Linked DNA regions of Lonchura striata. The protein of the gene in region 1 interacts with the protein of each later gene in a pairwise test. Links are inferred from orthologs where the notes say so. Each region holds a gene or a part of one and is shown in the gene's direction. Other genes may lie near its edges.

What was found.
Region 2: the proteins of FEZ1 (region 1) and PAM16 interact in a two-hybrid assay, tested with the Homo sapiens proteins (2 studies listed by BioGRID and IntAct). The link is inferred for Lonchura striata from reciprocal best matches to the Homo sapiens genes FEZ1 and PAM16.
Region 3: the proteins of FEZ1 (region 1) and PDCD7 interact in a two-hybrid assay, tested with the Homo sapiens proteins (2 studies listed by BioGRID and IntAct). The link is inferred for Lonchura striata from reciprocal best matches to the Homo sapiens genes FEZ1 and PDCD7.

What each region holds. Positions count from the first base shown.
Region 1 is NC_134625.1:3,083,006-3,092,996, reverse strand, and holds the start of FEZ1 (fasciculation and elongation protein zeta-1), read left to right. Parts: upstream 1-5,254; 5' UTR 5,255-5,357; intron 5,358-6,222; exon of another isoform or gene 6,223-6,239; intron 6,240-9,758; 5' UTR 9,759-9,786; coding exon 9,787-9,991. UniProt on the Homo sapiens protein: May be involved in axonal outgrowth as component of the network of molecules that regulate cellular morphology and axon guidance machinery.
Region 2 is NC_134618.1:3,696,659-3,707,247, forward strand, and holds PAM16 (mitochondrial import inner membrane translocase subunit TIM16), read left to right. Parts: upstream 1-6,115; 5' UTR 6,116-6,181; coding exon 6,182-6,184; intron 6,185-6,659; coding exon 6,660-6,744; intron 6,745-7,135; coding exon 7,136-7,275; intron 7,276-7,658; coding exon 7,659-7,724; intron 7,725-7,895; coding exon 7,896-7,982; 3' UTR 7,983-8,638; downstream 8,639-10,589. Other genes in the region: CORO7 (coronin-7), read left to right, coding at 1,083-1,137, 1,321-1,378, 1,468-1,613, 2,033-2,128, 2,205-2,336, 2,457-2,589, 2,667-2,842, 2,917-3,025 and 11 more; zinc finger protein GLIS2, read right to left, coding at 9,793-10,580. UniProt on the Homo sapiens protein: Regulates ATP-dependent protein translocation into the mitochondrial matrix. Inhibits DNAJC19 stimulation of HSPA9/Mortalin ATPase activity.
Region 3 is NC_134613.1:21,930,519-21,940,432, forward strand, and holds PDCD7 (programmed cell death protein 7), read left to right. Parts: upstream 1-5,440; coding exon 5,441-6,127; intron 6,128-7,195; coding exon 7,196-7,334; intron 7,335-7,663; coding exon 7,664-7,900; intron 7,901-8,499; coding exon 8,500-8,587; intron 8,588-8,954; coding exon 8,955-9,072; 3' UTR 9,073-9,777; downstream 9,778-9,914. Other genes in the region: CLPX (ATP-dependent clpX-like chaperone, mitochondrial), read left to right, coding at 17-105, 637-801, 1,429-1,728, 1,859-1,951, 2,172-2,278, 3,301-3,391. UniProt on the Homo sapiens protein: Promotes apoptosis when overexpressed.

The sequences.
Region 1 (9,991 bases):
CTCCAGGGCCACTTCCATCCCTCCAGGGCCACTTCCATCCCTCCAGGGCCTCTTCCACCCCTCTCCGAGCTCACTTCCACCCTCTCCAAAGCCACTTCCACTCTCCCTAGGTCACTTCCATCCTCTCCAGGGTCACTTCTGTCCTCTCCCAACATGCTTTTGAAGTTCTGTGGTTTGAAGTTCTGGTTTTCAGGGTTTTTTTTTTAGTTCTTTTAGTCTCATTTCTGTTTCTTTAAATTCCTCTGGATTTTAATTTTGCTAATTCTTTTAATTGCATATCTTTTATTCTCATTCCTTTTAATCCTACCGTTTTAGTCTTCCTTCTTCTGATCTTTCTTCTGGGAAGGGTGAAGAGCAATGGGGACAAAGATCCCAATACTTGAGCTTTTATTTGGCTGAATCACCTCCTTCCTTAGCCCCTGTTTGTGGGTTTGGAGCACACACCTCCATTTCTGGGTTCAGACCCCAAGAGGGACAGCTCTGCAGCACCTTCTTCAAAATCCTGGAGTCCTTAAGTTTGGAAAACCCTCAAAGATCCCTAAATCTGAACCTTCTTGTCCTTCCTCATTCCCTCTGGTGGCAGGGCCAGGGAACCCCTTCCTCCTCAAACATTCACACCAACCTCAAGCAGTTTGTGGGTTAAAAATCAGCAGATTTAGGGCATGTTTTCATTTTTTTTGTTATTTTTCATCCTCTCCAGGTGCCGCAGGGGATCATCCTGCAGGTGAAGCAGCAAGGCCCCACCACCCTCGCCTTGCTCCCCAGTCCAGCCCCCTGTGTCCTGGGGAGTGGCCAGGGGCTGAGGCCACCAGCCCACAGACCCAGTGGCCACCCCCATTCTGCCACGCCATCACCCTATGGCCACCAGCACCCTGGAGCAGCAGCGCCCCAGCACAGCAGCATCCCCACGCCCAAGCCTGTGGGAGTTGGGCTGTGGCATGAGGAAAACTTCTGGTGCCTGGAGCCAAAATGGGAGAAACTGGACTCTTTTGTTTCTTATTTTTAATAAAACTCTTGATGGAACGTGCCGTAAGAATCCACAGTGAGATTATTTAGTGTTAAAGCTTGAGTTTAAACACATCCTTGAGTTTAAACACATCCAAAACTTGTTTGATGTTTGCAAAGTATCATCACCCTGGTCCCTGAGGAGAGGAATCCAGCATTCCTGTCCCCATTTCTGTTCAGGGGGTCCTTGTGCCATCCACCATCCCCTTCAGGTGAGGAGCTGCTTTCCTGGCAGTGTTCTTTGCTCCTGAGTTTTTCCACTTTGTTCCCAAGGTTTTCTGTTTTCTTTTCCCTACAAAGTTTGTTGTCAAATTCTCTCCTCCTTAGCAGTTTTGTCCTTCATTTTCCATTTTTTTCCTCTCTAATTCCCATTTCCCCCTTTATTTCCAAATTTTACACCTTTTTTCCCAGCTTTACCCCTTATTTTCTAGTGTTCTACTTTCTTAGCTTTCCCCTTTTTATTTCCAATTCCTCCACTTAATTTCCAAGATTTTCCAATTTTTATCTCCAGGGTTCCTTTTATTCTGGGGTTTTTTCTCTTTCAAGTTTCTGCCCTTCATTTCCATATTTCTGCATTTTGTGTTTTAAGTTTTAAGATTTTCCCTTCATTCTCAGTTTTTCCCTTGATTTTCCAAATTTTTTTTTCCACATGAAAGCCCGGGAGAAATGCTGGGACTTCTCTTTGCACAGTCAGTGGGTGACAGAGCAGAGGAGGAGGAATTCGAAGAGAGAGACAGAGTACAGAATAAAGACGGTGAAAGAAATCCCCCCGCGACATGCTACAGGGTCTGGAAGGAACATTTGGATTAACAGTGACAAACCAGACAGAGAGAACACAGCAGAATACCAAGGGGCCACAGGACACACGGGGGGAAATGCAATAAAACCTGAAAGCTGGAGAGAAAACACGGTGCAATGGAAAACAGCTACGGGCAGAGCCGGGGAGGACCGAAAAGATGGGGACAAGGAGCGAAATGGAAAAAGCAGGTACAGGGGAGAAAAAAGAAAAGGCGGCGGCGTGGGAAAGGGGAGGGAAAGGCATCACCGCCCGCAGCTCCCGGGTTCGGTGCTCCCGGGAGCCCGGGCGCTCCCGGTGCTCGGTCACCCGTTCCCGGTGCTCGGTCACCCGTTCCCGGGGTTCGGTCACACCATTCCCGGTGCTCGGTCACACCATTCCCGGTGCTCGGTCACCCGTTCCCGGGGCTCGGTCACCCGTTCCCGGAGCTCGGTCACCCGTTCCCGGGGCTCGGTCACCCGTTCCCGGAGCTCGGTCACCCGTTCCCGGGGCTCGGCCGCTGCTGCCGGCGCCGCCGGCGGGAGCACCGCGGGGCACCGAGCTGCAGTTCCGCGGTTTGGCCGCTCAGTGGCAGCCGCGAGCGTGGGAACTGCCCGGCCATGGGGGGACGCGGCGGGAGAGACCCGGGAGAGACACGGGAGAGACCCGGGAGAGACACGGGAGAGACCCGGGAGAGACACGGGAGAGACCCGGGAGAGACACGGGAGAGACACGGGAGAGACCCGGGAGAGACACGGGAGAGACCCGGGAGAGACACGGGAGAGACACGGGAGAGACACGGGAGAGACCCGGAGAGACCCGGGAGAGACACGGGAGAGACACGGGAGAGAACCGGGAGAGACCCGGGAGAGACACGGGAGAGACCCGGGAGAGACCCGGGAGAGACACGGGAGAGACCCGGGAGAGACACGAGAGAGAACCGGGAGAGACCCGGGAGAGACCCGGGAGAGTGGGGACATGGGGGGATATAGAGGGGACACAGGGGGACACGGCAGGACACGGGGGGAAACGCGCAGTGGGGACACGGGGACAGAGCAGGCGAGTCTGGGGGAGCGCTCCCCTGCCCGCCGGCTGCTCCTGGCAGAGTCCCTGGCCGCTGTCCCCAGCTGCCCGGGGCCACCCAGCCCCCTCGGCTCCTTCTCTTGGCTGTATCCATCCCGGCTCGGAGCTGCTCCTTTGTGCCCTTCCCTGCTGCGCAGGAGTGTTGGGTGATGACCTTTGCTGACCCAGAAATGGGCCAAGTGAGAGGTGTTTAAAAACTTCCATTCCATTTTCAGTCACCTGTGAAGGGTGAGAATACAGATGTTATGATTCACGCCATCACAATCGGAAGCCGACCATTTCCTGATTACAATACACTAGAAGCGTTTATTGACCTGTCAGCTTTAACCACAATTTTCTACAAATCCATTTCCCACACTGGAGCAGAGTGCACGGGGCAGAGGCACCAGTGCAGCCCAGCTGTGCTGTGACCCCGGGGTGCAGCTCTGGAGCTCCCCCAGTGCTGGGAGAAGCTCCAGAAGCTCCTGGACTCCCTGGTGTCCAGGCAGGCACTGGGCACAGTGGAGATGCAGCTGCTGGGGAGGAGCTGAGTCTCAGAACCCTCCCAAAGCCCCAGCTGCAGTGTTGTCCAAATCTGAGACAGTTACGCAGGGCAGAGGCTCCAAAGTGAGCTACCTCCCCTTTAGTTTTATCCACTCCACTTTCACCAATAAGGAGAGATGAATGTGAGAAGATAGAAGTGAAAAAATAGCAGAACAGGGGAGAATGGTGCTGGGTGCCCCTGTAGGTGGGGTGATTAGTCCCACAGAGCAGCAAGCTAAACAGTTGGTGCTTTATTATTCTTCTGACATGAGTTCCACACTGGGAATTTCCTTCCTTCTTTCCTTCCTTCCTTCCTTTCTTTCTTTCTTTCTTTCTTTCTTTCTTTCTTTCTTTCTTTCTTTCTTTCTTTCTTTCTTTCTTTCTTCCTTCCTCTCCTCTCCTCTCCTCTCCTCTCCCCTTCCTCTCTCTCTCCTCTCCTCCTCTCCTCTCCTCTCCTCTCCTCTCCTCTCCTCTCCTCTCCTCTCCTCTCCTCTCCTCTCCTCTCCTCTCCTCTCCTCTCCTCTCCTCTCCTCTCCTCTCCTCTCCTCTTCCTCTCCTCTCCTCTCCTCTCCCTGTTGTTTTTTCTTTTCTCCTTCTCTACCAGATGACACCATTTTCCATCCCCTCCCCAATCATCATTTCCATCCCCCAATCATCGGGTACCCAAAAATGCACCCTCCTGCCTTGGTCCTTGCCGTGTTGAGTCAGGAATGTGAATTTTTAATTCCTGTAAACACTGGGCACTGTTGTTCTTTCTTTGGCCAAGCGTTTCCTCTGGCCCCTGGGCAGGACATTGTCATTATTTTGTCAGTTTGTTGGTTCGGGTGTGAGAAGGATCGATCCTGCCTCTTTGGCTAATGTCACATGGACCACCCAAGAGATTGGGGCACGGGTGTGGAGGGACAGGACCGAGGGAGTGATGGAGAGCAGGGTCAGGTGGATTTTGGGAAGACATCCACTCTGTGAGGGTGGGAGGCCCTGCTATCTGTGTGCCACAGACCTTCTCCATCCCCTGAAGTGCTCAGCTCCAGCTTTGACAGAGCTTGGAGCAACTTGGTCCAAGCCCTGAGAACAGAAGGAGCTTCAGGGTCCTTGTCCTTCCCAGCCCAAACCATTCTGGGATTCGAGGATTTCCTCGGCACCGAGCCAAAGCACGCGCTGCTCCAGCCAGGACTTGGCAAAATCTCATTAGATTTTTAACAACAACCATTCCACAGACTCTTTTGAGGTTTTTTTCCTTAATGTGAACAACTTGAAGCCATGTGCCAGAGAAGAAACCTTTCTCCTGCCCTGCTGCGTGGAAAACCAGCACAGAGAGGGAGCAGGCAGCTGCAGGCAGCAGGGCCTGTCAAGATCGGGGAAACTGAGCTTAAGGTCAGACATCCCACTTGGCTGTGGACTAAACCCAGATTTCAAAAAGAAAAAAAAAACCCACAGCATGCAGAACAACATTCATCGAAAGCAATTCTTTAAATTGCTAATAAATTTTAAGACAAAAAGCTGAAAGAATATTATTATAAAAAGCTGCTCATTTCTTGTGATTACTATTATGTTTTTTGAGAGGAAAAATATAGGAAAAATACGGTTTTTTTATTTTGTAATTCGCTTCATTTTTATGTCATAATTTTAATTGTTTTATTTTATAAAAGGAAAAAAAAAAAAATCTTGGGCTACATTGCCGTATATGCCATCTTTTATTTCTATTTCCCATCTGTACATTTCCGTAGTCATTTCCATGGATGCATTTTCTCCCTCGGTGCCGCGGACAGGCGCAGAGCCGCGTGGACAAAGGACGAGCCCCCGGCGGGGCTCGGGGGATTTTGGGGATCGGGAAAGGACGGACGGAGCCGGGATGGGCGATGACGTCACGGCCGCCGCCCGCGCCCTGCCCGGTGACGTCACCGGCCCGCCCCGCGCCTGCGCAGTGCGGGCGCAGCACCCCCGGCGCGGCGCGGAGGATGCGGGGCTGCAGGTGGGTGCGGGGATGGGCTGGGGGCGTCTGGGGTGCGGGGATGGGGGTGCAGAGGGGCTGGGGGCGTCTGGGATGCGGGGCTGGGGGCGTCAGGGGTGCGGGGCTGCAGGTGGGTGCGGGTCTGGGGAGGCCATGAAGGGTGCGGGGTTTGGGGGGGGCATGAAAGGTGCGGGGTTGCAGGCGGGTGCAGGGCTGGGGGGCCATGAATGGTGCGGGGTTTGGGGGGGGCATGAAGGATGCGGGGTTTGGGGGGGGGCATGAAAGGTGCGGGGTTTGGGGGCCATGAAAGGTGCGGGGTTGCAGGAGGGTGCAGGGCTGGGGAGGCCATGAAGGGTGCGGGGTTTGGGGGCCATGAATGGTGCGGGGTTTGGGGGGGCATGAAGGATGCGAGGCTGCAGGAGGGTGCGGGACTGGGGGCCGCGAAAGGTGCGGGGTTGCAGGTGCTGAGGGGTCCATGAAGGATGCGGAGTTTGGGGGGGGGGCCATGAAAGGTGCGGAGTTGCAGGCGGGTGCAGGGCTGGGGGGAGCCGCGAAGGGTGCGGGGTTTGGGGGGGCATGAAGGATGCGGGGCTGCAGGGGGGTGCGGGGCTGAGGGGGCCATGAAGGGTGCGGGGTTTGGGGGCCATGAATGGTGCTGGGTTTGGGGGGGGCCATGAAGAATGCGGGGCTGCAGGCGGGTGCGGGGTTTGGGGGGGGCATGAAGGATGCGGGGTTGCAGGAGGGTGCGGGGTTTGGGGGCCATGAATGGTGCGGGGTTTGGGGGGGGACCATGAAGGATGCGGGGCTGCAGGCGGGTGCGGGGTTTGGGGGGGGCATGAAGGATGCGGGGTTGCAGGAGGGTGCGGGGTTTGGGGGGGGACCATGAAGGATGCGGGGCTGCAGGCGGGTGCAGGGTTTGGGGGGGGCCATGAATGGTGCGGGGTTTGGGGGAGGCCATGAAGGGTGCGGGGTTTGGGGGGGCCATGAAGGGTGCGGGGTTTGGGGGGCCATGAAGGATGCGGGGTTTGGGGGGGGCCATGAAGGGTGCGGGGTTTGGGGGGGCCATGAAGGATGCGGGGTTTGGGGGGGCCATGAAGGATGCGGGGTTTGGGGGGGGCCATGAAGGATGCGGGTTTGGGGAGCGCGGGCGATGCTGCCCTTGCAGGCGGTGCGGGGGGGTCGCACGGGGATGCGGTGCTGCGGGGGTGTCGGGTCTGGGGGCAGCGCGGGCTGATGTTGCGGGCAGGGCCGGGGCCGTGCGGGGCCGTGCGGGGCCGGGGAGGTGCTCGCCCGCTGCGGGGGCGCTCTGGGGGTCGTGGGGCCGCGGGGGTGCGCCTGCGGGGAGCGGCGGAGGGAGGGGCGGCGAGCGCAGCGAGGGCGGGTCCGTGTGCGTGTTGGTGTGCGTGTGCGCAGGGCTGAGCGGGCGTGCAAGGATGTGCGTGCCCAGATGTGTGTGCAAGGGATGTGTGTGCCCAGGTGTGTGTGCGGGTGTGCAAGGGATGTGTGTGCTGCTCGGTGTGTGCGGGTGTGCAAGGGATGTGCGTGCCCAGATGTGTGTGCAAGTGATGTGCATGTCCGGCTCAGTGTGTGTGGGTGCAGATGTGTGTGTGTGTTCAGGTCTCTGTGTGTGTGCAGATGTGTGTGCATGTCCAGATGTGTGTTCAGGTCTCTGTGTGTGTGCAGGTGTGTACATGTCCAGATGTGTGTGCAGGGCTGTGTGGGTGTGCAGGTGTGTGCATGTCCAGATGTGTGTGCAGGGCTGTGTGTGTGCAGATGTGTGTGCAGGGCTGTGTGTGTGTGCAAGGCTGTGTGTGTGTGCGCAGGTGTGTGCATGTCCAGATGTGTGTGCAGGGCTGTGTGTGTGTGCGCAGGTGTGTGCATGTCCAGATGTGTGTGCAGGGCTGTGTGTGTGTGCAGATGTGCATGCAGGGCTGTGTGTGTGTGCAGATGTGTGTGCAGGTGTGTGCATGTCCAGATGTGTGTGCAGGGCTGTGTGTCCGTGCAGATACATGTGCATGCAGGAGTGTGTGTGCATGTGAAGGTGTGTGTGTACAGTTGCAGGGGCACACGTGCAGGCACGTGGGTGTGCAGGTGTGTGCAGGTGTGTGCTGCTGGTGTTTGTGGGGCCTGGAGCTGGGTGCTGTGAGCATGTCGGGCTCCATGGTGCATATGTGGGGATGCACAAGTGCACAGTGGTGCATAATGTATGCGAGGGGATGCAGGCATGCACAGGGGTGCACTCTGTGTGTGTGCATGGCATTGCACGTGGGGATGCATGAGTGCATGGGCGTGCACACACGGACATCGTTGGGGGTGCAAAGGTGTGCACTCATGCACACGGTGGGAATGCATGCTTGCAAAGGTGTGTGTGCGTGCAGACTTGCATGGGACAGGGCATGCATCCACCGGGGCACGTGAGGGTGACTGCCTGTGCAGTGTGTGCAGCCCAGCGCCTGTGCACCGCTGCAGCACACATGCACCTGTGTGCAGACACTCTGTGCACACATGCGCCGCTCCGTGTGCGTGCTTTGCATCTCTGTGCATGGCATGCATGTTCACAGGGAGCACCAGGCCCTGTCCCGTGTGTGTGTGTGTGTGTGTGAGTGCTGCAGGCGTGTGCAGGGCTGGGCTCCCCTGCAGGTGCACACGTGCAGGGTGTGCATGCTCAGGGCGTGTGCTGCAGGGCTGGGGGCACCCAGGGGGGCACACGTGCATGGGCTGCGGCGGTGCTGCACAGGGCTGTGACCCAACACCCTTTCAGGGCAGGTTTTCCCCAGAGCTGGGATGTCTGTGCTCCCCTCCCCAGGGAAGCATGGCCAGGCCTGGGTGCTGCCACCTCTGCTGGGCTGCTCCGGGCTTACTACTGAGTTACTCCTTGCTTCCTCTGAGGCTACTGCTGGGATATTCTCAGTAATCTCCTGAGGGAGTAGTGAAATACTATCAAGACACAGCTGAGATGCTCTCAGGGTGCTGCTGAGATGCTCTGAGGTTACTAGAATGCGGGCAGGCTACTCTGCAGACAGCAGTAAGGCACTTCCAGAGTGCCATTAAGGTACTCCCAGGATACTCTGTAAATACTACTGGGATGCTGCAAAAGCTCTGCTAATGTACCATCAGGCTGCTACTAAGATACTTCCAGAGCTGATACTGAGGCACTCGTAGGAAGGTACCACTGGAGCAGCTCACACAAGGTTCCTCTCAAGATACGTGCAGGTTGCTTTCAGTGTAGTTACGGGGCAGTAAGAAAATATCAGGATAATTCTTTGTGCTACCAAAGTGCCACCAGCACACTGAGGATAACAGCTGTGTCCCGTGACACCACTGCTAGGATCCTATCAGGACACTCGTTATCTACTACTGTGATACTATCAGGGCACCAGGATGCTCCTGACAGAATCAGGATATTCCTGCCTGTGCTAGTACAACATCAGGACAGTGCTGAGCTACTCAATGCTGACTGCTACTAGGATACTCTCAGTGCAGCACAAAGCTACTATCAGGATGTTGCTAAGGTATTATCAGGCTAACACTCCAAAGCAACACTTTGCTAATTGTAAATGTATTGCTAATGCTAATGAGTATTGCTGACAAGGCACTACTAAGATACTACAGGGTCGTTGCTAGGATACATTACTGGTACTACCATGATGCTACCAGGATATTATCACAAAGTTCCCGAGGTGCTGCCAGGACAAGAGTCAGCTTTCTCAGGATAAAAGTGCAGCTCTCTGTAGGATACTTCCAAGATGCTACAAGGGCCCTACAAAAGTCATGGTAAGATACTTCTGGGATGCCATCAGGGCACCACTCACATTTTTGGGGTATTGTCAGCACATTACTGATATTTACAGGCTACTTGCTTAGTAGTGATGTAGTGTCAGAATAAGCCCTTTTGTGACTCAGAGATGGGGTAACTGAGAGGTGGCAAAAGCTGAAAGGCCAAGAAACATTTTTAATGTATTGTGATTAGGAAATAGTCCGCTTCTGATTGTAACAGCGTGAATTGGAACATCTGTACTGTCTCACCCTTTACATGGGACTGAAAATGGAATAAAAGTTTTTAAAACACCTCTCAGCTGCCCCATCTCTGCATCAGAAGAGAGCATCATCCAACAGTATAGCATAAGGATACAACTAAGATACTACCACTTCAGGGAAATGGATAGCAGTATGACATTTTTTACATACTGAACTGCTTGGACAACTATCAGTACTTTGTTGCAACTATGAAATTGCAGCTAGAATAGTGCCACAATAGCAGAATGTTTCTTCTGAAGGTAGCCCGTCCTGTTGGGTTACTGCCAGGATACTACAGAGATGCCGTTGGTTGTGTACCAGCCCTGGCAGCAGCGAAGGGAACGGGGAGCCGGGTGTTGCAAGCTGTGAGTAGCCCGGTGCCTGACGGGCACCCTGTCCCTGCAGCTAAGGCAGCACGTCGGTGTTGAGGAGGATGGAGGCGCCGCTGGTCAGTCTGGAGGAGGAGTTCGAGGAGGGGCCCGGGGACGATGGGGGGTCGCTGCCGCGCCCCGCGGACCCCGCGCTGGCCGAGCTGGAGAGCTTCTCGGCCGAGATGATGAGCTTCAAGTCCATGGAGGACCTGGTGCAGGAGTTCGACGAGAAGCTCACCGTGTGCTTCCGCAACTACGACGCCGCCA
Region 2 (10,589 bases), on another chromosome or scaffold:
TAATAAAAAAGGCTGGGTTGGGTGTCCTTGGCACCCCCAGGGGCTCCCATATCCATTGTGCCCAGGGTAACCAGGGACTCTGGCACCGATGAGCCCCAGTGCCCTGGGATCCCAGTCCCCCCATGCCTCTGGCGTCCACAGAGCTTCTGCCACCGAGTCCCAGGGGACAGGGGGAAAGTGGGTGGCCCTTGCATGCCCCTGTGACGGCAGAGCAATGCTCCCTGTTTGGCATGGTGAGGATGGCATGGGCTGGGCTGGGACAGCCAGGCACTCAGGGTGCCCTTGTCCCAGACCTGCACCTCTGTGCTGCTGGCAGGGGACCCCGGTGCCTGTCCCGGACATCCTGGCAGTGTTTGCCTAGGTTGTGCCAACAGTTCCGGGGCAGGCCCATGCCAAACCACCCGCAGATACCCTTCATGGCATGGAGCAGCTCCCTCCCCTTGGCACAGCCACAGAAACGTCAACCGAAAGTAATAGATTGTCCCTTTGGTCTCTGCCCGCGGCGCTCCCTCCTCCAGCCCTGCCGAGGGAAGGCACGGAGTGTCTCTGTGCTCCTCTCACCGCTGTCCCCTCAGGTCACCGAGTGTTCCCTGCGGTCCCCTCCGGCCACCCTGCGCGCTCTGGGGCAGGGTGCAGGGCAGGGACAGGGACACGCTGCAGCTGGCACCGACGCCCCGAACTGGCCCAGCCGGCCCGGCTGGCCCCGGGGCAGCCCCGCGGGCCCGGAGCTTCCCCGGGTGAGGCCGGGTGCCATGGCCGGGCACCGGGAGCAGGGCAAGGAGCGGGATGCCCCACGGCTGGGCACTGCGCAGCCGGGGCTGGAAGCAGGCGGCAGTGACATCCTGCTGTCAACCTGTCGGCCCGGGCTGGGACAGCGAGGGTCGTCACCTGGGGACCGGCCCGGCACCTGCACCCCCGGGCACGGCGCTGCCCTCCCATCGCAGCGTGGCCTTATCCTGCCCCACGCTGCCCCAGGATGGGGTTTGGGGTGTGCACCAGTGGAGGAACAACATCCAGCCCCACATCCATGGGAGTGCTGTTCCCACGGGGGCCCCTGGCTCAGCACCCCTCTTCCCTTGCAGGGTGACCATCCCGCTGTACGATGCCGACACGGGACTGCTGGTGCTGGCGGGGAAGGTGAGGTGCCATGGCTGGGGGGTGCAGGGAGGCGCTGGGGGGACAGGAGGATGCAGGGGGGTGTTGTGAGGTGCAGCTTGGTACATGTGGGTGCACCAGTGGAGTACAGGAGGTTGCATGTGGGTGCAGTGGGGTGCTTCCTACAGCCCTGCTCATTCCCTGTCCTTACCACCTCTTTTCCAGGGAGAAAACCTCCTGTACTGCTTTGAGGTAGCCCCCACACAGCCAGCACTGACCCAGGGTAAGCAGGTCCCATCCCACCCATATCTCCCCTGGGGGACTCACCACTGCCTGGCCACCCACAGCACGGCCACCCTGCCTGTCCCGCAGTGACCCAGTGCCGGACAGAGGGCAGCACGCGGGGCCTGGCAGCCGTGCCACGCCTGGCCCTGGATGTCATGGCCTGCGAGGTGCTCCGTGTCCTGCAGCTCACTGACACCGCCCTCGTCCCCGTCAGCTACCTGGTGCCACGCAAGGTAAGGGGACCCTGTGGGCGTCAGTGCCTGCTGTCATCTCATGGGTGCCACCTCACCAGCACTGGGTGGCAAAAAGGACCTGGCTGTGGTGAGAGCCCAGTCCCCAGCCTGGGGAGAGCAGGAGTGGAGGTCAAACATTGATGGTGGTGGTGGGTTGCAGAGTCTGGGTGCTGGATTTGGGGAGCTGGGCGCTGCGTGCAGGATTGGGGTGCTGGAGAGTGGATGCTGACAGCTGGGTGCCACCTGCTGGGTGCTGTTGTGCAATGGGTGTTGGGCACTTCAGCCAGGAAATCTGGGTTCTGGGTAGTGGGGTCTGGGTGTGGAAGTGTCTAGGGGTGCCCAGAGGTGCCCCAGCTACAGCAGGACAGAGGCTGTGGGATTTTGAGAACATCTGTCTCACCCCACCCCCTCTCCCCCAGTCTGTCCAGGAGTTCCACGAGGATCTGTTCCCTGACTGCACAGGGATGCTGCCAGCCACCGATGCCCAAGGCTGGTGGGCAGGGGACAGCCAGCAGGTCAGTGTCATCCGGGGGGTGTGTCCTTGCTGGTGGCATTGCCACTGCCCCATGCTCACCGCTGTGCTCTGTGCAGGTGGGGAGAGTCAGCCTGCACCCTGCACGGAGACCCACAGAGACCTTCACATCCCCCATCATTGCTGGCACCGGCCCCACCAACGCTGGCCACACCGACACCGACACTGGCCACACCGACGCAGACCAGAGTGTGAGCATGGGGCGCTGGAAAAGTGCGCTGAACGCTGAAGGGGTGGGGTCCCTGCTGCCCTCATCCTACAAGACAAGGCGAGGGTGCCAGCACCCCCTGTCTGGTCTTTCTCTCCCCTAGGAAGCCAGTGGCTACTCCTCACCATCCTCACTGGCCTCGCCAGGCAGCGCGGCCACCTCGCTCTCCGCCAGCACCGGCCCCTCCAGTGGCTTTGCCAGCAGCCCCAGCCAGAAGTCCCTGCAGAGCCTTTTGGGTGAGCGGGCAGCGGGGCGGGCTCGGGGTGCCCCGCTGTGGGGCTCGGGGCGCTCACGCGGCCCTCGCCCGCTGCAGGGCCCAGCTCCCGCTTCCGGCACGCGCAGGGCCGGGCGCTGCACCGGGACCAGCACCTCACCAACCTGCGCGGGCTCAGCCTCACCACGCCGGGCGAGTGCGACGGCTTCTGTGCCAACCAGCAGCGCGTCGCCCTGCCCCTGCTCTCCGCCGGCGGCCAGATCGCCGTGCTCGAGGTACCCCGGGGAGGTGTGGAGGCCGGCGCGGCGCCGGGTGTGCCGTGCTAGTGACCCCCGGCTCTCGCCCGCAGCTCTCCAAGCCCGGCCGCCTCCCCGACGCGGCCGTGCCCACCATCCAGAACGGCGCCGCGGTGGCCGACCTCACCTGGGACCCCTTCGACCCACGGCGCCTCGCTGTCGGTACGTGCGTGCCAGCCCTGCCCGGGTGTGCCCGGAGAGTCCCCCGGTTCCAGGGACTCCAGATCACCCCATTAACAACTGCCCGTCCCTTCTGGCACAGCGGGTGAGGACGCCAGGATCCGGCTGTGGCGGATCCCTGAGGGAGGGCTGCGGGAGACCCTGCAGGAGCCTGAAGCCGTTCTCCGAGGTGAGGGGCCTGTTGAGCACCCCAAAGTGGGGACAAAGCAGCCTGGTGGCACCCACAGCTGGGGACAACCACGCACTACTGAACCTCACCAGGTCACACGGAAAAGATCTACTCCATCCGCTTCCACCCCATGGCATCCGATCTCCTGGTCTCCTCCTCCTACGACATGACCGTGCGGATCTGGGAGCTCAGCGCCGGGCGGGAAGTCCTGTGCCTGCGGGGACACACGGATCAGGTAAGGGATGACAAATCCAGGGACACCTGAGAGGCAACTTTGGGACTTTTGCACAACGTCTGTCTCTCCAGATTTTCAGCATGGCTTGGAGCCCGGATGGGAAGAAGCTGGCAACGGTGAGCAAAGACGGACGGATACGGCTCTATGAGCCACGGCGCAGCTCTCAGCCTCAACAGGTACAATCCCAGCATGGGGGACAGACTGGAGAGCTGGGGGTGTGGGCAGGAAACCCTCCCTGTGGGCACATGACTGCACCCCCAGCTCTCTCGGAGCAGGCAGGGTGACCTTCACCCCATGCAGGAGGGCCCAGGTCCTGAGGGGGGACGCGGAGCACGCCTGGTTTGGGTTTGTGGTGGTGACTTCCTCCTGGTGTCCGGCTTTGACAGGTAAAGAGGGGGACACACACCAGGGCAGGGGTCCCCGAGGACGCTGCTTGCTCTCACTGTCACCTCCCCACAGCCGCAGCGAGAGGAGGATCCTCCTGTACCGGGCACAGGCCCTGTCTGAAGGACCCTTGTCTGTCCTTGGTCTGGACGTGGCCCCTTCCACCCTCCTGCCCTTTTACGATGAGGATACCAGCGTTGTCTTCCTCACCGGCAAGGTGAGGGCTTGCCCTCCAAAAAACAGTGGGGCTCCCTGCCTACAGCATCCCACAGTGTGGAGGGACCCTCCATGTCCCCTGACAGCCCCCATCTCGCTCCATCCCCAGGGTGACACCAGAGTCTTCCTCTATGAAGTGACCCCTGAGCCCCCCTATTTCCTCGAGTGCAACAGCTTCACCTCCAATGAGCCCCACAAGGTAAAGGGGGGATACGCTGCCTGTCCCTGGGCCCCTACCTGTGCTGCCAGGCCCCACTCACACCCCCACCCCACCAGGGCTTCGTCTTCCTGCCCAAAACGGCGTGCGAGGTGCGGGAGGTGGAGTTTGCCCGGGCGCTGCGCCTGGGGCAGAGCACCCTGGAGCCCGTGGCTTTCCACGTGCCACGCGTCAAGGTAGGAGGCGAGGGGGGCTGGCCGTGTCTGGGGAGGGGAAGGAGGCAGGGCACCCCCTGAGCACCCTTGCCCCCATAGAAGGAGTATTTCCAGGACGATCTCTACCCGCCGACCCGCGTGTGGTGGGAGCCGGCCCTGGCTGCCGGTGCGTGGCTGGACGGGCAGGACGGGCAGCAGCGCCGCGCCAGCCTGCGCCCCGCAGACATGCTGCCAGGTGGGTGCAGGGGCTGGGCGAGGACCCGCGGCCCTCAGGGGTGGCTGGGGTGGCTTTAGTCAATGGGGTAGAGTCCTCCTGCCCCGTGGTGACACCACTGCCACAGTGAGCGAGGCCCCCAAAGAGGCTCCCGCTCGGAAGTTCGTCCCTGCGTCTGTGTACCTGGAGGAGAAGACCGACGAGCAGAAGAAGGAGGAGGTGAGTTCTGGGCTGAGCACCCTGCGCCAGGTCTGGAGGCGATGCTCTGTGCCCCACGGCTCTGCCCGGCCTCTCCCCACAGCTCCTCAGTGCCATGGTGGCCCGGCTGGGCAACAGGGACGACCCGCTGCCCCAGGACTCCTTCGAGGGCGTGGACGAGGACGAGTGGGTGAGTGCGGGAGGGGGACCCAGGACCCCCGGCCGGGTCGCACCGGCCCCGCCGCGCCGCTCACCCCCGGCCTCCCGCAGGACTAGGCGGGACCCGCGCCCCCGGGGAGCCGGGACCCCGCACCCGGCCCGGGGCGACCACGAGCAGCAGCAGGAGGAGGAGGAAGAGATGGAGGAGGCGCAGGGCCCCCCGCGGGCAGGACCCGCTATTAAAGCCGCTGCACCAGCACCGTGTCCTGCCGTGATCCTGGGACACCGGGGGGACACGGGGACTGGGAATGGGGGAGACACAGGGAACAAGGGGACATGTGGACCGGGGGCGACACAGGGACAGGCTCCAGGGGGATACGGGCTTCGGGGTGACACAGGATCGACAGTGGGGGAACACGGTAACCGAGCGGGACATGAGCAGCGAGGCAGGGGGGTACAAGGACTGGCCCGGGTGGACATGGAAACCGACACCGGGGGACACGGAAATCGGCGATAACACAGGGATCCGGGAGACCCGGGGACCGCGGCAGGGGGGCACACGGAGAGCGGGGGGACACCGGCACCGGGGTCGCGCAGGTTCCGGGGATGGGGGCGCACGGGGAGCGGGGGGACAGCGGCACCGGGATCGCGCAGGTTCCGGGGATGGGGGCACACGGGGAGCGGGGGGACAGCGGCACCGGGGTCGCGCAGGTTCCGGGGGTGGGGGGCACAGGGACCGGGGCACACGGGGAGCGGGGGAACAGCGGCACCGGGGTCGCGCAGGTTCCGGGGATGGGGGCACACGGGGAGCGGGGGGACAGCGGCACCGGGATCGCGCAGGTTCCGGGGATGGGGGCACACGGGGAGCGGGGGGACAGCGGCACCGGGGTCGCGCAGGTTCCGGGGATGGGGGCACACGGGGAGCGGGGGGACAGCGGCACCGGGATCGCGCAGGTTCCGGGGATGGGGGCACACGGGGAGCGGGGGGACAGCGGCACCGGGGTCGCGCAGGTTCCGGGGATGGGGGCACACGGGGAAGCCGCGCCCCGCCGCCGGAGGACCTCCCGCGCGGGGCCGCCGGCAGAGGGCGCTGTGGCCGCGGGCGGGCCGCTCCGCCGCGCCGCCGCCGTCTCGGTGTCCGCCGTGCCCCTCCCCGGGCACGTGACCGCGGGCGGAAGCGGCGGCGGGGACATGGTGAGAGGGGACGGGGGACACCGGGACCGGCAGCGGCAGCGCGCTCGGGAGCGGGCCAGGCAGCTGGTTCCGGGAGGGCCAGCGTCAGGGGAGAGGGGCAGGGACAGGGGAAGGGGTCACAGGAGCAGGGAAGGGGGAAGAAGTCATGGGGAGGGGGACAGGGCCAGAGGAGGGGGGACAGGGCCAGTGAAAGCGGAGCAGGGACAGAGCAGGGGTCGCGGGGCCAGCGAAGAGGGGACAGGGGAGAGGAGAAAGGGCCTGGGGGGGGGACAGAGCCTGGGAAAGATCGCAGGGCCTGGGTGGGGGGACAGGGACAGAGAAGGGGGGACAGGGCCATGACAGGAGTCCAATGGGGTGAGAGCAGAGCCCCAGGGGATGGCGAGAGGTGACAGAGCCCGTGGGGCTGTGCAGGGCCCAAGGGGAGGTGACAGGGCACAGGAGCCGCGGTGGCTGTGACAGCAGGGTGTCCCCGCAGGCCAAGTACCTGGCACAGATCATTCTGGTGGGGGCCCAGGTGGTGGGACGGGCCTTCATGCGGGCGCTGCGCCAGGAGTTTGCAGGTAGGAGCTGGGATGCTGCTCCGTGTGCCCACGCTGCCCTGCTGGGCACTGCTCCACATCCCCACCCTTCCCTGGGCACCCCAGCGCGCCCCATCCCCTGCAGGGGACACTGCCAGGTTGTCACCAGGCTTCATCCTGGCACTGCTGCCAGGCACTCCAAAGGGCAGAGTGGGATAATCGCTGGGATGTGGCAGCCCCAGCCCTGCCTTGCTTGTGGCAAACGGTGCCTGCCTGCTCCCTGCCACCTCCCTGGCACTGGGACGGTGTTCAGATGGCCCCGGGGTGGCTGGATGGGGACAGAGGGGGACACCGGGGTCTGAGCACCTGGAGGTGCGTGGGCTGTGCTGCCTGAGGGCCGGGTGGCAGGGGACTCAGGCCCTGCTGTCCCCAGCGAGCCAGGCCGCAGCCAATGCACGGGGACGCGCCGAGAGGCCCCAGTCCGCTGCTGCCTCCAGGATCATCGGCATCAGCCTCCAGGAAGCTCAGCAGATCCTCAACGTCTCCAGCCTCAACCCTGAGGAGATCCAGAAGGTAGAGGCTTCCCTGGAGCCAGGCAGGGATGGTGCTAGCAGGGCCTGGCCTCTCCAAGGGTGCTGCTGTGCATGGGGGTGGCAGCTGGTCCCCCGTGCTGTCTTGGGCTCAGTTAAGCACAGCTTGAGGATTCCCTGCCCCAGCTGGAGCAGCCCTCCAGACCTGGCCTCTGCATCTGCCCAGCGGGGCTGCTCAGGGAAGGGACATGGGATCTCTGGAGGTGCCCTGCTGGGAACACGGGGGCTCCTAAGAGGTGTCAGGCAGAGGAGCCGTGTCCCCCGGGATCACTCTTCAGCAATTCTCTGGGGAGTGGGAGGCTGCCAAGGTTTGGGAGTGGGAATGGCAAGGCTGGGATGCCTCTGACCCAGAGCTTCTCTCGGCAGAACTACGACCACTTGTTCAAGGTGAACGACAAATCAGTGGGAGGCTCCTTCTACCTCCAGTCCAAGGTGAGCGCCGGGAGGAGCAGGGCTGCACCTTCCTTCCCTTGTCTGGCTTTTGGGACAGGCAGAGCCTGGATATACCCAGGGATGAGGCATGGAGGGGAGGGGGCACCCCATCCCGTGTGTCACCCCATCCCGTGTGTCACCCCATCCCGTGTGTCACCCCGTGTCCCACAGGTGGTGAGAGCCAAGGAGCGGCTGGACGAGGAGCTGCGCATCCAGGCCAAGGGCGACAAGGAGAAGGGGCGGAAAGCCGAGACGTGACTCCTGCCACCCCTGCCCCCCGTGCCCCTCACCCTTAACTTATAGGTAGCCAATAAACGCCGTCTCCTCCAGCACGTGGCCTGGCTGCTCCACACCCGGGGAGGGAGCAGGGACCTGCCTGCCCAGCGATCCCGGCAGGATCGGCCCCTGCGAGGGGCTGCGTTTGCCTGGGGGAGGAAGACGAGGAGGAGGAGGCAGCTGGGGAAGAAGGGGTGTCCCCAGGGCACTGAGGCTGCCAGGGCTCAAATGGCACTGGGGGAGGCTGCAGGAGCTATTTTTGGTGGGGAGGTTGGATGCTCTTGGATGGAGTGCTCGGCTGTCTCTGGCTCCGTACCCTGGGAGTGCTGTGCCGTTACCTTCTCCCAGTGTGGATGGCTGCTGGCTCGGGGTGAGGAGACACGCTGTGGCTGTCCCCACCTGCAGCTCACCCCGCAGATGCTGGCAGGCTTTCACTGGTGCCGAGGCCGCCTGAGCAGGAGCGCGGGGACACGGCTGGGGGTCAGGCAGGGCCAGCCGTGCCCCCAAGGTCACACCCGTCCCCCCCCTGCACCCCTCTGTCCCCAGCGCCGTTGGCACCACGGCCACGGACTGAAACAGGAACTTACTTCAACTTCACTTTATTGTTTTCTTAATAAACTTCCTCTCCCCTGGACGAATATAGTGTTACAGTCGTTAGCTTATCTCGTACTTGCGCAGTCCTTACACGCTACGCTAACAGCGATGGAGCCCAACAGGAGGAAAATAAAAACAACCCAGAAACTACGATAGAAAGGCACTTCGAGACCGTTAAAATACTGATGTCCTGGAATGTGCAACAACAAACCGATGAGGAGCGAGGAGACGTTTCACCGGCCGGGGCGGCCTGGTCGAGGGCCCGCAGCCATGCTGGGCTAGGGCAGCGCCGGGCGGCCGCCGGTGAGGGCAGGGAGACCGGCTCCCTGCGGGGCAGGCGGGGCTCCTTCAGCACGGGGGGCGGGAATGGGGAGACCCCCGCGGCTCGGAGCGAGCGGGACGCGTGTGAGCCCCGGGGGGGCTCCGAGCTGCGCCCGCGCTGAGGCTGGGCACGCCGCCCCACGCCGGGGGCTCACCCGGGAGCATCCCAGCGCCGCATCCCGAGGAGCGGGAGCCCGGCAGCCGCTGCCCGCATCAGCTCGCGGTGCGTGGTTAGGTATGAACGTAGCTAGAGAGGGGCCGAGCCCGGCGAGCAGCACACGCGGCCGTGTGCCTTGTCACGGGAGGGCCGGGGCGGCCGTGCGGAGGGAGCGGGAGGAGGCGGGCGGCGCCGGGCCGGTGAGTGCCCAGCCGGCTGCGGCACCGCCCGCGGCCGGGCGGGGTGGGCGGCACGGCACGGCACGGCCGGGCACGGCTCGGGGCTGCGGAGAGGGCGGTCCCCCGGCTGTCAGCCCGCTGTCCGTGCGGCAGGAGCCCGGGGGCGGCAGCAGCACCGAGGCCTCGGGCAGGGAGACGCCGAGTCAGCGGAAGCAGGAGAGCCCGAGCGGGACCCCGTCGGAGCAGGGGGCTGGTCGAGAAATAAATAGCGGCGTATCCGGCTGCCTAGGGCCGGGGGGGAGAGGGGGCAGGGGGACCCCCCCTGTGCCCCACCTGCCCCCAGCACGGGGTCGCAGCCGGCTCCGGCCGCCGAGGGATTATTGCTTTTCTCAGAAGAGTCCGTTCTTCTTTCGTGACGGGTAAAAGCACGAGCGAGGCCCCGCCGGGGCTGCAGGGGGAGGAGGGGGCCATGCCCCCCCGTCCCCAGGGAGCGGGATCTGCCCACGGGGCCGGCGGCTGACCCCGGGCATCGTCGGACCCCTCAGTTGACGGCGGCGGGTTTGAGCAGCAGGGAGCCGGGGGGGATGAGCACCCAGCCGGGGGGCAGCGCCTCGGGGCTGCCCCCCGAGCTGACACCGGCCGAGAGGTCGAGCACGGCCCCCGGCAACAGCGCCAGGCTCTCGGGGGGCACCCGCGGCCGCCCCGGCTCCGTCCTTTCGCCCCTCTCCTTCCGGCTCTCCAGCCCCTTGCCCGCCTTGGGCGGCCGCCCCTCGGCCCCGCTGCCCTTCTCCCCCTCGGCCTTGGCCCCGCCGGCCAGCAGCGACATGACGGGCAGCCCCAGCCCCGCCGCGAAGGGCGAGGGCAGCAGCGGGCTCTTGGCCAAGTTCAAGGGGCCGCCGTTGAGGGGCAGGACGGGGCCGGGCAGGGCGGGCAGCGCGCCCGCAGCCCCGCAGCCCAGCGCGCTGAGGTCGAGCGGCGCCGGTGCCAAAGGGATGGGCAGCGCCGGCAGCCCCGGCGGAGCGAAGAGGGCGGCGGGGTTGGGGATGACGAGCTGCGCCCCGTTAACGTAGGGCACCTCCGCCGAGCCCAGGGACGTTTTGGGAGGCGGGTGGACCTTGAGCATCTCCGGGTGCTCGGGGGACACGAAATGGCCGTGGGCTTTGATGTGCTTGCGGAGGGAGCTGGGGTCGGTGTAGCGCTTGTGGCAGCCCGGCATCTTGCAGGAGTAGGGCTTCTCCACGTAGTGCGTGCGGGTGTGCTTGAAGCGGTCGCTGGAGTTGGAGTAACGCTTGTTGCAGCCTTCGTAGGGGCAGATGTAGGGCTTCTCACCTGTGGGAC
Region 3 (9,914 bases), on another chromosome or scaffold:
TTTTCTGTAACTGCAGGTATTGTTTTTCTGGATGAAGTAGATAAGATTGGCAGTGTTCCTGGTATCCATCAGTTACGGGACGTTGGGGGAGAAGGTGTTCAACAGGTAAATACTTCCATGAAGTGATTTTACTTCTTGAGTGAACAGGACATAGGATCCTGTCATGTCAAAAAGCATGGAGTCACAGTTCTTCAGTTCCTTAGCTATTCACCTTCAAAAGGTGAGTCTTTCCTCTTGACTTCATTAAAAAACATAATCTCAAGAGCAGTTTGAGGCATCCTCATGGAAGCATTTTAGTTCAAGAATGTCTTTGCAGTATTCAGCCAGCCAGTTCATAATATTCAGATAACCAGTTACAAAGACAGGTAACATTTCCCATTTAAACAGAACTCTTGATGCAGCTAATCGTTATATGCATAATGTGCATGGGAGCCATATTAAAGGGATGTTTTTATCCTTGAGTGGGGCTGTCTCATAGGGAAAACTGACTTTTTTTGACACTTACTGTTACTGTAAAGGTATAAGGGAGCAAAAAATACAGGTGTATTTGTGAATGTGAACATATCATGTTGTGCCCTTTTATATGATGGTACACAATGGGAATTTTTTATTGCTTATTTCTTCTTTCCTTCTTAGGGCTTGTTAAAATTACTTGAAGGCACAATAGTAAACGTTCCAGAAAAGAATTCTCGGAAACTACGTGGAGAAACAGTGCAGGTTGACACAACAAACATTCTGTTTGTAGCTTCTGGTGCTTTTAATGGTCTTGACAGAATTATCAGCAGGAGGAAAAATGAAAAAGTGAGTGCATCAGCCTGTGTCCAGGCTGAAAAATCATCATCTTGATTACTGTTCACAACACCGACTTTTACAGGTCTTGCTGTATTTGTAAACACACTAAATTTCTTTATTTCAGCAAATGGTGCCAAAACCATCATCATCTTAAAACACCTTGTCCTGCATTTCACTGTTTCATAGATTAATGTCTGGGGACAGGGTTCTGGCTGCAGCATTCTGACAAAATGTGCTCCCTGTCTCTAACACTAAAGGAGTGACTGTTTAAGTTATTAAGTTTAAGTTATTGTTCATATTAATTCATGTAGCTTCCCATGTAAGCAAACTTGCCTGCATTTGCTTTGCTTATGAAATGTCACTGATACTTGTAAAATGACCAGAACATGTTGATAACCTTCTTTGTTTTAAGAAAAAAATGGCTCTTGTTCTGATGTATTAATCCTTTACTGAGGAAATTCAATTTTGTAAGAACCTGATTGTATACAAGGGGTCTAATTTTACTCTTAAGTAGTTTCTTGAGCTCGAATTAGTATGTAATGACCTAACCAATCACTGCAGATTTTTTAATACTCACGGAGAGTAAGAAAATTCAGTTATTACAGTTCTCTAAGCAGAACATGTTTGTTCTTGCAGTACCTAGGATTTGGGACACCATCTAACATGGGGAAAGGCAGAAGGGCTGCAGCAGCAGCTGATCTTGCCAACATCAGCGGGGAGTCTGACCCACAGGAGGATATTGAGGAGAAGGATCGCTTGCTGCGGCACGTGGAAGCCAGGGACCTCATCGAGTTTGGCATGATTCCTGAATTTGTGGGACGTTTGCCTGTTGTGGTTCCCCTGCATAGCCTGGATGAGAAAACCCTCGTACGGATTCTCACGGAGCCACGGAACGCTGTGGTTCCTCAGTACCAGGCACTATTCAGCATGGATAAGGTTTGAGTTTTTATTTGATGACTCTTGGGTGTTCATTTTTATAAATAATGTTGTTTCAGTAATGCTTGCACTCGCCATGCCGAGTTATAAATTCAATGATTAACTGAACTTCCTATTTTTCTCTCTGTAGTGTGAATTAAATGTAACTGAAGATGCATTGAAGGCTATAGCCAGACTGGCCCTGGACAGAAAAACTGGTGCCAGAGGTCTTCGATCTATAATGGTGAGTAAATTAAGTCTTATAAACAATAAATGAAGCTTCTGGATTTGTGTGTATGGACCTAATCTTGACCATTTCCAGTTAAAGCCACACTTAGTTCTGGCCCTTACATGGATACAGTAAAGCTGTGAGTATTCAGAGTTCTTCCAAGAAGACTCTCTGAAAATCACTTGTTTATGTAGAAGAGGGCATAGAGTAATATTTTCCCTCTATTTTCTTGTAGGAAAAGCTGCTGCTGGAGCCCATGTTTGAAGTGCCCAATTCTGACATCGTATGTGTGGAAGTTGACAAAGATGTTGTAGAAGGCAAAAAAGAGCCAGGATACATTAGGTAAAATGGTAACAGAAGTAGCAGAACAGACCAGTAATACAACTAGACAGGTATTCTGATGGAATGAGCACAAATCAGTGCACACAACTTAAAAAAGATTCAATGCTCTGTATATTGTACACAGCTGAATTAGTGCCTGTTCTGTCCTAGAGACTTTGGATTTGTATTGCTTTCACTTTTAAACAGAAATGTTAAAATAAACATATATGAAGTTACTTTCATGTGTGTATACCTGTAGAAATGGAAGTAAATTTTAAGGTAACAGTAAAAATTTTAAATTCAGTTGTGACTGTACTGAAATTTCTGAAATGAAACTGTTTCTTTCTTCCTACTTTTTACCACAGATGTGGGGGTTTTTATACAAGCTCCAGGCTGCAACAATTTTCTACATTACTCTTGCAGCAGTGGAGAGCCACAAAGGCACATTTATTGATTTGCTGAACTCTTGTTAAAATAATCAATTTAATGTTGTAAAGAGTACGGTAATGATGTAGAATGTTGAAAACATTGGACAAATCTGCATTTAAAAAAAAAAATCTAACCATTTCCATGAATGAAGGAGGGAATTGAGAGAGAATGGGTCAGGTTAAAACTGGTTAAAAAATTAATTTCTGAATTTCAGGCCTGAAATTTAGGAACTCTGTCTTGGTTTCTATCACTGACAATGTTGTTTGAATGGCTTCCTCCACTAAGGTACTTTTACTCATTCCAGCACCTTGTCTGTGCTGAAGCTTGGCTCCACCTTGTGTGGTTGGAGGGAGTGAAAATGTATTACACTGATGGTTGCTTGAAGTAATTCTGTATAGCACCAGAAATACTAAATGTTATTGATTAAATCAAACAACTTACTGAAAGTCAGGCTAATTGAATTCAGCTAATGAGCCTGTGTGCTGGTGGCACTGCAAATGTGCACAGCAGCATTTCCAGATCAGAAGGTCAGAACTTTTGTCACGGGGCACTGTGCATGTGACATGTTTGTCAGAAGCTATGGAAAAGTATCTGATCATTCCTTCCAATCCTAGGGCTCCCACCAAGGACTCATCAGAAGAGGAGTATGACTCTGGAGTGGAGGAGGAAGGCTGGCCTCGACAGGCAGATGCTGCAAACCATTAAACACTGTCAGAACTCTCACCTGCAAAAAGCTCACTCGGTTCTTTCCTTGTGGCTGCCTCTGGCTCCAGCCTGTCCCCAAAGGCACCAGATCTGTCTCGGATACAATTCATGATGAGGACCTCCATTAGCTAAATCAGATCGTGTATTTTATTGCAGCATCACATTGATTTGATGGACAGAGTGTGGACTGGGATAGCATAATGTTCAAATATGAATTGTATATTACACTTGTTCAATTAAAATGTATAGCAAATGCAGCAGCACCTGCACTGCCCTTGCCAGAAACTAAACCAGCAGCACAGGTGCTGCCAATAGTTAGATTTAACAATAATGTTACTCTACAAGTGGGAAATCAAAATTAATAATTAGTAGAGGGTGCGTAAACTTATCTTAGCTCCTGGTACAGCTCACAGGGGGTTATGTTCAGGTCAGTGTTAGAGTCCTGTTGGTGTGTGTAACCCAGCAGGCGCTGGAGTGGCTTGTTACATTGGTGGGGGAGGAAGCCCTTGTGGAAAAACTGGGACACACTTTGTGACACTGCTGGGACATCCTGCTAAAATGTGACACTGGTTTGTTACAGTCATTTGAATATCCAACAGTAATATCCTTCACGTCTCCATTGGGAGCTTTAATCACCTTGGATGCTGTGAAAGAAGGTGAAGTCTGGTTTTCCAGAGGGGTAAAGATTCCTAGGAAGCAGTAAAACCATCTAAATTTGGATGAGAAGTCAATATAAATTTTTAAATATTAATGTTCTAATATAGTACATTTTGTTTAACGTATTGGAACTATCATGCATCAATTTTTTGGTGCCAGGTATTTGCCCAACCTATCTTATAATGTTAAGAGATGAAAGAAGTAAATGTATAATATTTTTGCTGTAATCAGTAGTGATTGTTCACATGACAGTGCTTTTTAAGTTATATTCTCAAATGCTAGTATTGCATCTTGTGGATTTGTCTTTGATTTTAGTCTCACAGCAAGAAATCTTCCCTCTTCTGTTCTCCATCAAAATAAATTCAATCCTTTAGGAAAGCCTTTGTAAAAACACTAAAGGACCTGTATGTTTTTGATATGTTTCAGGAATTAAAATCGTCACTTAAAAGTTTTTGTCCTTTGGTGAAAATGTGGACTTGAGCTTCCCTAAAACTTTATTCACACTATTTAAATAAAACTTTCATCCTTCTTTTTAGTCTAGTGGCTGTTGTAGGACAGGAAAGGATACTGAAAAATCTATTGACCCTATTTTTGTTATTAATTTCTGTCATGTAAATTCTATGTAATACTTGTGTTCTTCCCTAGCAGCAGTGTGACATGCAGTTGTAGCCGGGTGCAACAGATACTTCCCGTGGGATTACAGATTTTTTTTCAGGTTAAATGACCCAGTAATGGTTCAGAAAAAGCTGTGTTTGGAGTCGAGGATATTTCTAAAAGCTTGGTCCCTTCAAAATGGGAGTTTGTGGTGAACTATCTGTAACTGCATCTTCACTTTCCTTTTTGTAGAGTGAAAAAACATAACAGCTTTTAATTCTGAATCCTTTAATTCAAATCCTTTTTTTAAACAGATAGAAAAGACACCACATTTTAGGTGAAACTGTTCAACAACTTAGTTTTGAAAGTTGTTTGGAATTCTGTAACCAAGAACTGTTTTTAAGGAAACAAAAATGCCATGTAATTACAGTTTGTACTTCACCTCTGGCGTTTGAATAAAAGCGAATATTCAAGCAGTAGCGAGTTGTCATCCCTGACGCCATCCCCAGGTATTTCGAGTTTTAGGAACTTAATTTTTAAGCGGAGCGAGAGGCGGGTGGGGCGGGTCCTCCGGGCCGCCAGGGGGCGCTGTGGCCGCGGCAGCACTGTCATGGCGGCGGGCGCTGAGGGCTGCGCTGAGGCGCTGAGGCGGCGCTGTCGTGGCGGCGGGCGCTGAGGGCTGCGCTGAGGCGCTGAGGCGGCGCTGTCGTGGCGGCGGGCGCTGAGGCGCTGAGGGCTGCGCTGAGGCGCTGAGGCGGCGCTGTCGTGGCGGCGGGCGCTGAGGGCTGCGGCGGGATCATGGCGCAGCCGCCACCTTTCCCCGCCCGCCTCCCGCCGCCCTTCCGCGCCTTCCCGCCGCCCTTCCCCGGCCCCGCCGTCCGCCCAGCGCCCTTCGCGGTGGGGCCGGCGGCACCCCCGCCTTTCTTCTTGCCGCCGCCGCCTGCGGGTGAGGGGGGACCGCGCTTCCCGCCGGGCGTCCCCTACTTAGCGGCGGCCGCGCCGCGGGCAGCGGCCGAGGAGGAGGCGGTGCAGCGGCAGCAGGACGAGCTGTGGCTCTCGCAGTTCCTGGGCCGCCGCCGCGCCGCTCCCCCGCCGCCGCCGCCGCCCGCCGCCGCCAGCCCCAGCAGCGCCCGGGCGCTGGCGGTGGCGGCGCTGCGCCGGGTGGCCCGGCTGACCGCGCTCTGCCGGGCCCTGCGGGGCAGCGAGCAGCGGGGCGACGAGCCGGGCTGGGCCCGGGCGCGGGAGGAGGCGGAGGCGGCGCTGCGGGAGCTGCGAGAGGTCGTGAGGCCCCTGCGGGAGCCCGGGTACGGCGAGGCGCTGCGCAGGAAGGCCGAGAGGGCGAGGAAGAAGAGGCTGCGCCTGCAGAGGAGGAAGCACGAAGCCAGGGCGGCCAGGGAAGAGGAGGCGGCCCGAGCCGCCGAGCGGGAGGCCAAGATCGACCAGTGGCGGGCTAAGTGCATCCAGGAGGTGGAAGAAAAGAACCGGGTATGGTCCCCAGTGCCTGGTCCTGCCTCTCCCCGGGGCTCCAGGACAGCGCGGTGGGGCAGGGCTGACCCGCCGGTAGTGGGGTCACGGCGGGCTGTGCCTGCCCCACACCTGCCTTTGACTCCCTTGCTTCACTGAGGTGCTGCACGACTTCAGCCTACTGAGAGACGTGCTGTTTCCAAGGTCTGCAGCCCTGCTTCTTGCTTAGAAGTCTTGGTGGGCATCTCGGTTTTGCCATCCTCATATTCTACGCCTTGACATGAAATTGGGGTTTAAGTTGTTTCTGAACTCCTGGAGGTTTTCCTCTCTGGTCCCAAGTGTCAGCCTGTCCACACAGCTACCCTGTGGTGATCCGTGCTGTTTCAGTATCCATCAGCCTTGCTTCCTGCTTTCATCCCTCTAAGGCTTGTGGTTTACAAGATTTTTGATCTCATGGGGAAGTAAAACATCTCCAAAGCAAAAAATACCGCCTCAAATTAGACTGGGAAGTGCTGTAGGCACCTTTCTGTTTGTTTTTGGCTAAACTCCCTTTTCTGCTGTTCTACTGCTGGGATGGTCCAGAGCAGCTGCTGAGGAAGGGTTTGTGGTCAGACTGTGGCAGGTTAATGGTCTTAATTGCAGAACTGTGGAATTGGGATGGTTTCTGTTTATTGTAAAGTATTTGCCCTAAATTTCTCTGGTTAAAGGTTCTCAGGCTTTCATAAATCATTTAGGAAGTGTTCAAAAATGTGTGGATGTGGCACTTGAGGATATGGTTTAATGGTGACCATGGTGGTGGTTCTGGGTTGACAGATGGACTTGATCTTTCCCAGCCTTAACAACTCCATGATTCTGTGATTTGGCCCAGATTTATAAGTCCCACAGCATTATTTATTTCTTTTCTGAAGTCTGTGGTATTTTAGCCTTTTTTCATAAAAAGTCAGGGCTGGATGGTTGACTTGACTTGTTTCTGTTATTGTGAAGTCACTCTGCTCTTCAGTGCTTTGCTAATGTCTGAAAATACCATTTTATTTGCGTCTTTGAGGAATATTTCACACATCTCATCTGTTTTTTTCCTTCCTTGCCTAGGAGCAAGAGCTGAAGGCTGCTGCTGACAGTGTCCTGTCTGAAGTCCGGAAGAAACAAGCAGACACTAAGAGGATGATGGACATCCTGCGCGGGCTGGAAAAGCTTCGGAAACTGAGGAAAGAAGCTGCTGCCAGGAAAGGTTCATTACGAGATTGGTCTAAACTTTTATAATTGCACACACAGGAAATAAGATGAGGGTGCCCTGTGCTGACTAGCAAGGCACAGCTTCAAAAAGCTGTGTCTTCATTGTGATTTTAATTACAAGAATAGGTACAAAGTGCTGGTTTCAGTGGTTGTGTTCATATGTTTCCAAGCTCTTTGTGGAAGAAGGATTATTCCAGTGCGAATTCTGTCTGTTAACAAGGTTAAGCTCATGTTCCTCTGCCAGTTTGCAAGCTCTGCTCTCAAGTCTGGTATCAAGCCCCCTTCTGAATCTGAAAACTTAAAATCACTTCTGTTTCTGTTTAGGTGTTTGCCCACCTCCTTCAGCAGATGAAGCATTTGAAAATCAGGTGGAGAGTCTCCAAACATTGCTCAAAACTCGCACAGAACTTTATGAAGCTGAGGAAAGAGCATTAAGGGTTATGCTGGAGGGAGAACAGGAGGAGGAAAGGAAGAGGGAAATGGAAAAGAAACAGAAGAAGGAGAGGGAAAGACTACTACAGCAGAAACTGGAAATTGATTCTAAGCTGTTTGGGGATCCAGGTAAATTCTGCCTCCTGTTCTTAACAGTGTTTTTCCACATCACATCCCCATCTCACAGACACTGGATTTGAAATGCAGGCACAGATCTAGTTGAGAAAGGAATCATCCACTGGAGTAATTTGTGGTCTTAGAATGAGGGATAAACATAGTTCTGTTAACACCTGTGGTGTAAGAGGAACTGTTGCACTCTTCAACATGGACTGCAGCACTTCTCAAGCTGGTTTCATGTTGTTTTGCAAGAAGAGGTTGTAGATTAAACTGAAGTGAGAATAAACAGAATAGATTGAATACTTCCAGAACCATAGATGCTTTAAGCTAGTGCTTTGGTAAGTGTAACTCAGGTAATCTGTAAAGATTCAGTATTCATATGTTCCCCTTTTTTAGATGGTGGAGTCAGGAGGTTTTGCTAGTCTTGGCTTTCCTCTGACAGCTGTGGTACAGAGCAGGAAATGTGTAACACATAAACAGTGTTTCATATATTACTTATGGACCTGATGTCAGATTACATCTGGGCAGTAGCAAATGATTTTGCAAATTATGGGCTAGAATGGAAGGTTTTTCTGGATTATTAAACAATTTCTGTGTCTGTGTTTTTACAGCTGAATTCCCACTCGCCCATCTACTGCAGCCTTTCAGAGACTACTACTTACAAGCTGAACATTCAGTAGCAGCTCTAATCCAGATCAGGTAAAACCAAAGGAAGTATTTTATCATCAGGGAAGACAAACACTGTTTTTTGCAATTGTAAATTCAGTGCCCCTTTTGGTTTGTCAGCTTCCAAATATGGTTATGCAATGGATTGTTCTGGTTTTTTTCAAGTTTCATGCTTGAGTCATATCCAACAGATGCCCATGTGAGGCAGAGTGTACTTCCATGCATAACCATTCCATTTAACACCAGAACATTGAATTTTCACATTTGTCTTTTGAAAAACAAGTTTAAGAGTACAAGTATTGTGGATTTTGTATCGATCAGTAACGTCTATGTGGGTGTGGAAGTCTTACCACCAAATTAATCCCAGCTCTCCTCTCAAACAACACTTTCTCTGTTAAAGGCATGAATGGGATCAATACCTGGTGCCAGCCGACCACCCCGAAGGAAGCTGCATCCCTCCAGGATGGGTTCTCCCAAGTCTCCCCACCAATGACACTTGGGCCACTGCTGTCAGATAATTTCGCAATAAATTATTCCAACGTTGGGGGATTGTTTCGTTATAATTACGTGTAAATATGAGAGGGTCCAAAGAGGAAGTCTCGTCCTCTGTTTCAGCAGCCAGGTACTGGAATGTCTTTACTGCAACATCTTGAAAAAAAGTTTTAAGAATTGTTTTTGCTGATTGGCTGTGCAGGGAGATAGCTGAGCAAGCCCAGAGCTGCCAGGCCTCTCATGGTGTGGAATTACATTCCAGCTGCGAGTTCGTGTTAAATCTCAATCTTAATAAAGGAACATTGCTGATGGTGGTATTTGTGCCAGTATTAACATCCTATTTTTAGTGGCTATTATCTTTATAAAGGATGATGAAAACTTCAGAAATGAAGAAATTAAAAAAAAAAAAGAAGAGGTCATTAAGTAAACATGTTTTTCTTCTGAAATGAAGCATGACAAGCATCACTGTCAAAATAATTCCTGTATTTTGGGGTGTAGAAACAAACCTATTGCAAGTTTAAACTAATTCTAAAGTACAAACAAGACAGGGTTTCTCAAGGTTGATTAAAGCAGCTGTTGACATTTTACTTTTGTGGACTAAAGCTGATACCAAAACATGGAAAAAATTCCCAGTTGTGGTAAAATAGGTCAGACAGCCATGTGAATAAATACAAATTTGATGAATAAGCCTGCTGGAAAAAAAAACCTAATAAAATCTGAGGTCTAACCTACTGTGTTTTGACTATATAGATATTTTTGTATAGGGACATATAATCTCTATCATATTTGATTAAACATAACAGCTTTATTTTGTAAGCTGGTTGTTTTGTACAGAACAAGTAGAGAAAAATGGATTTTTGTTTAAAGC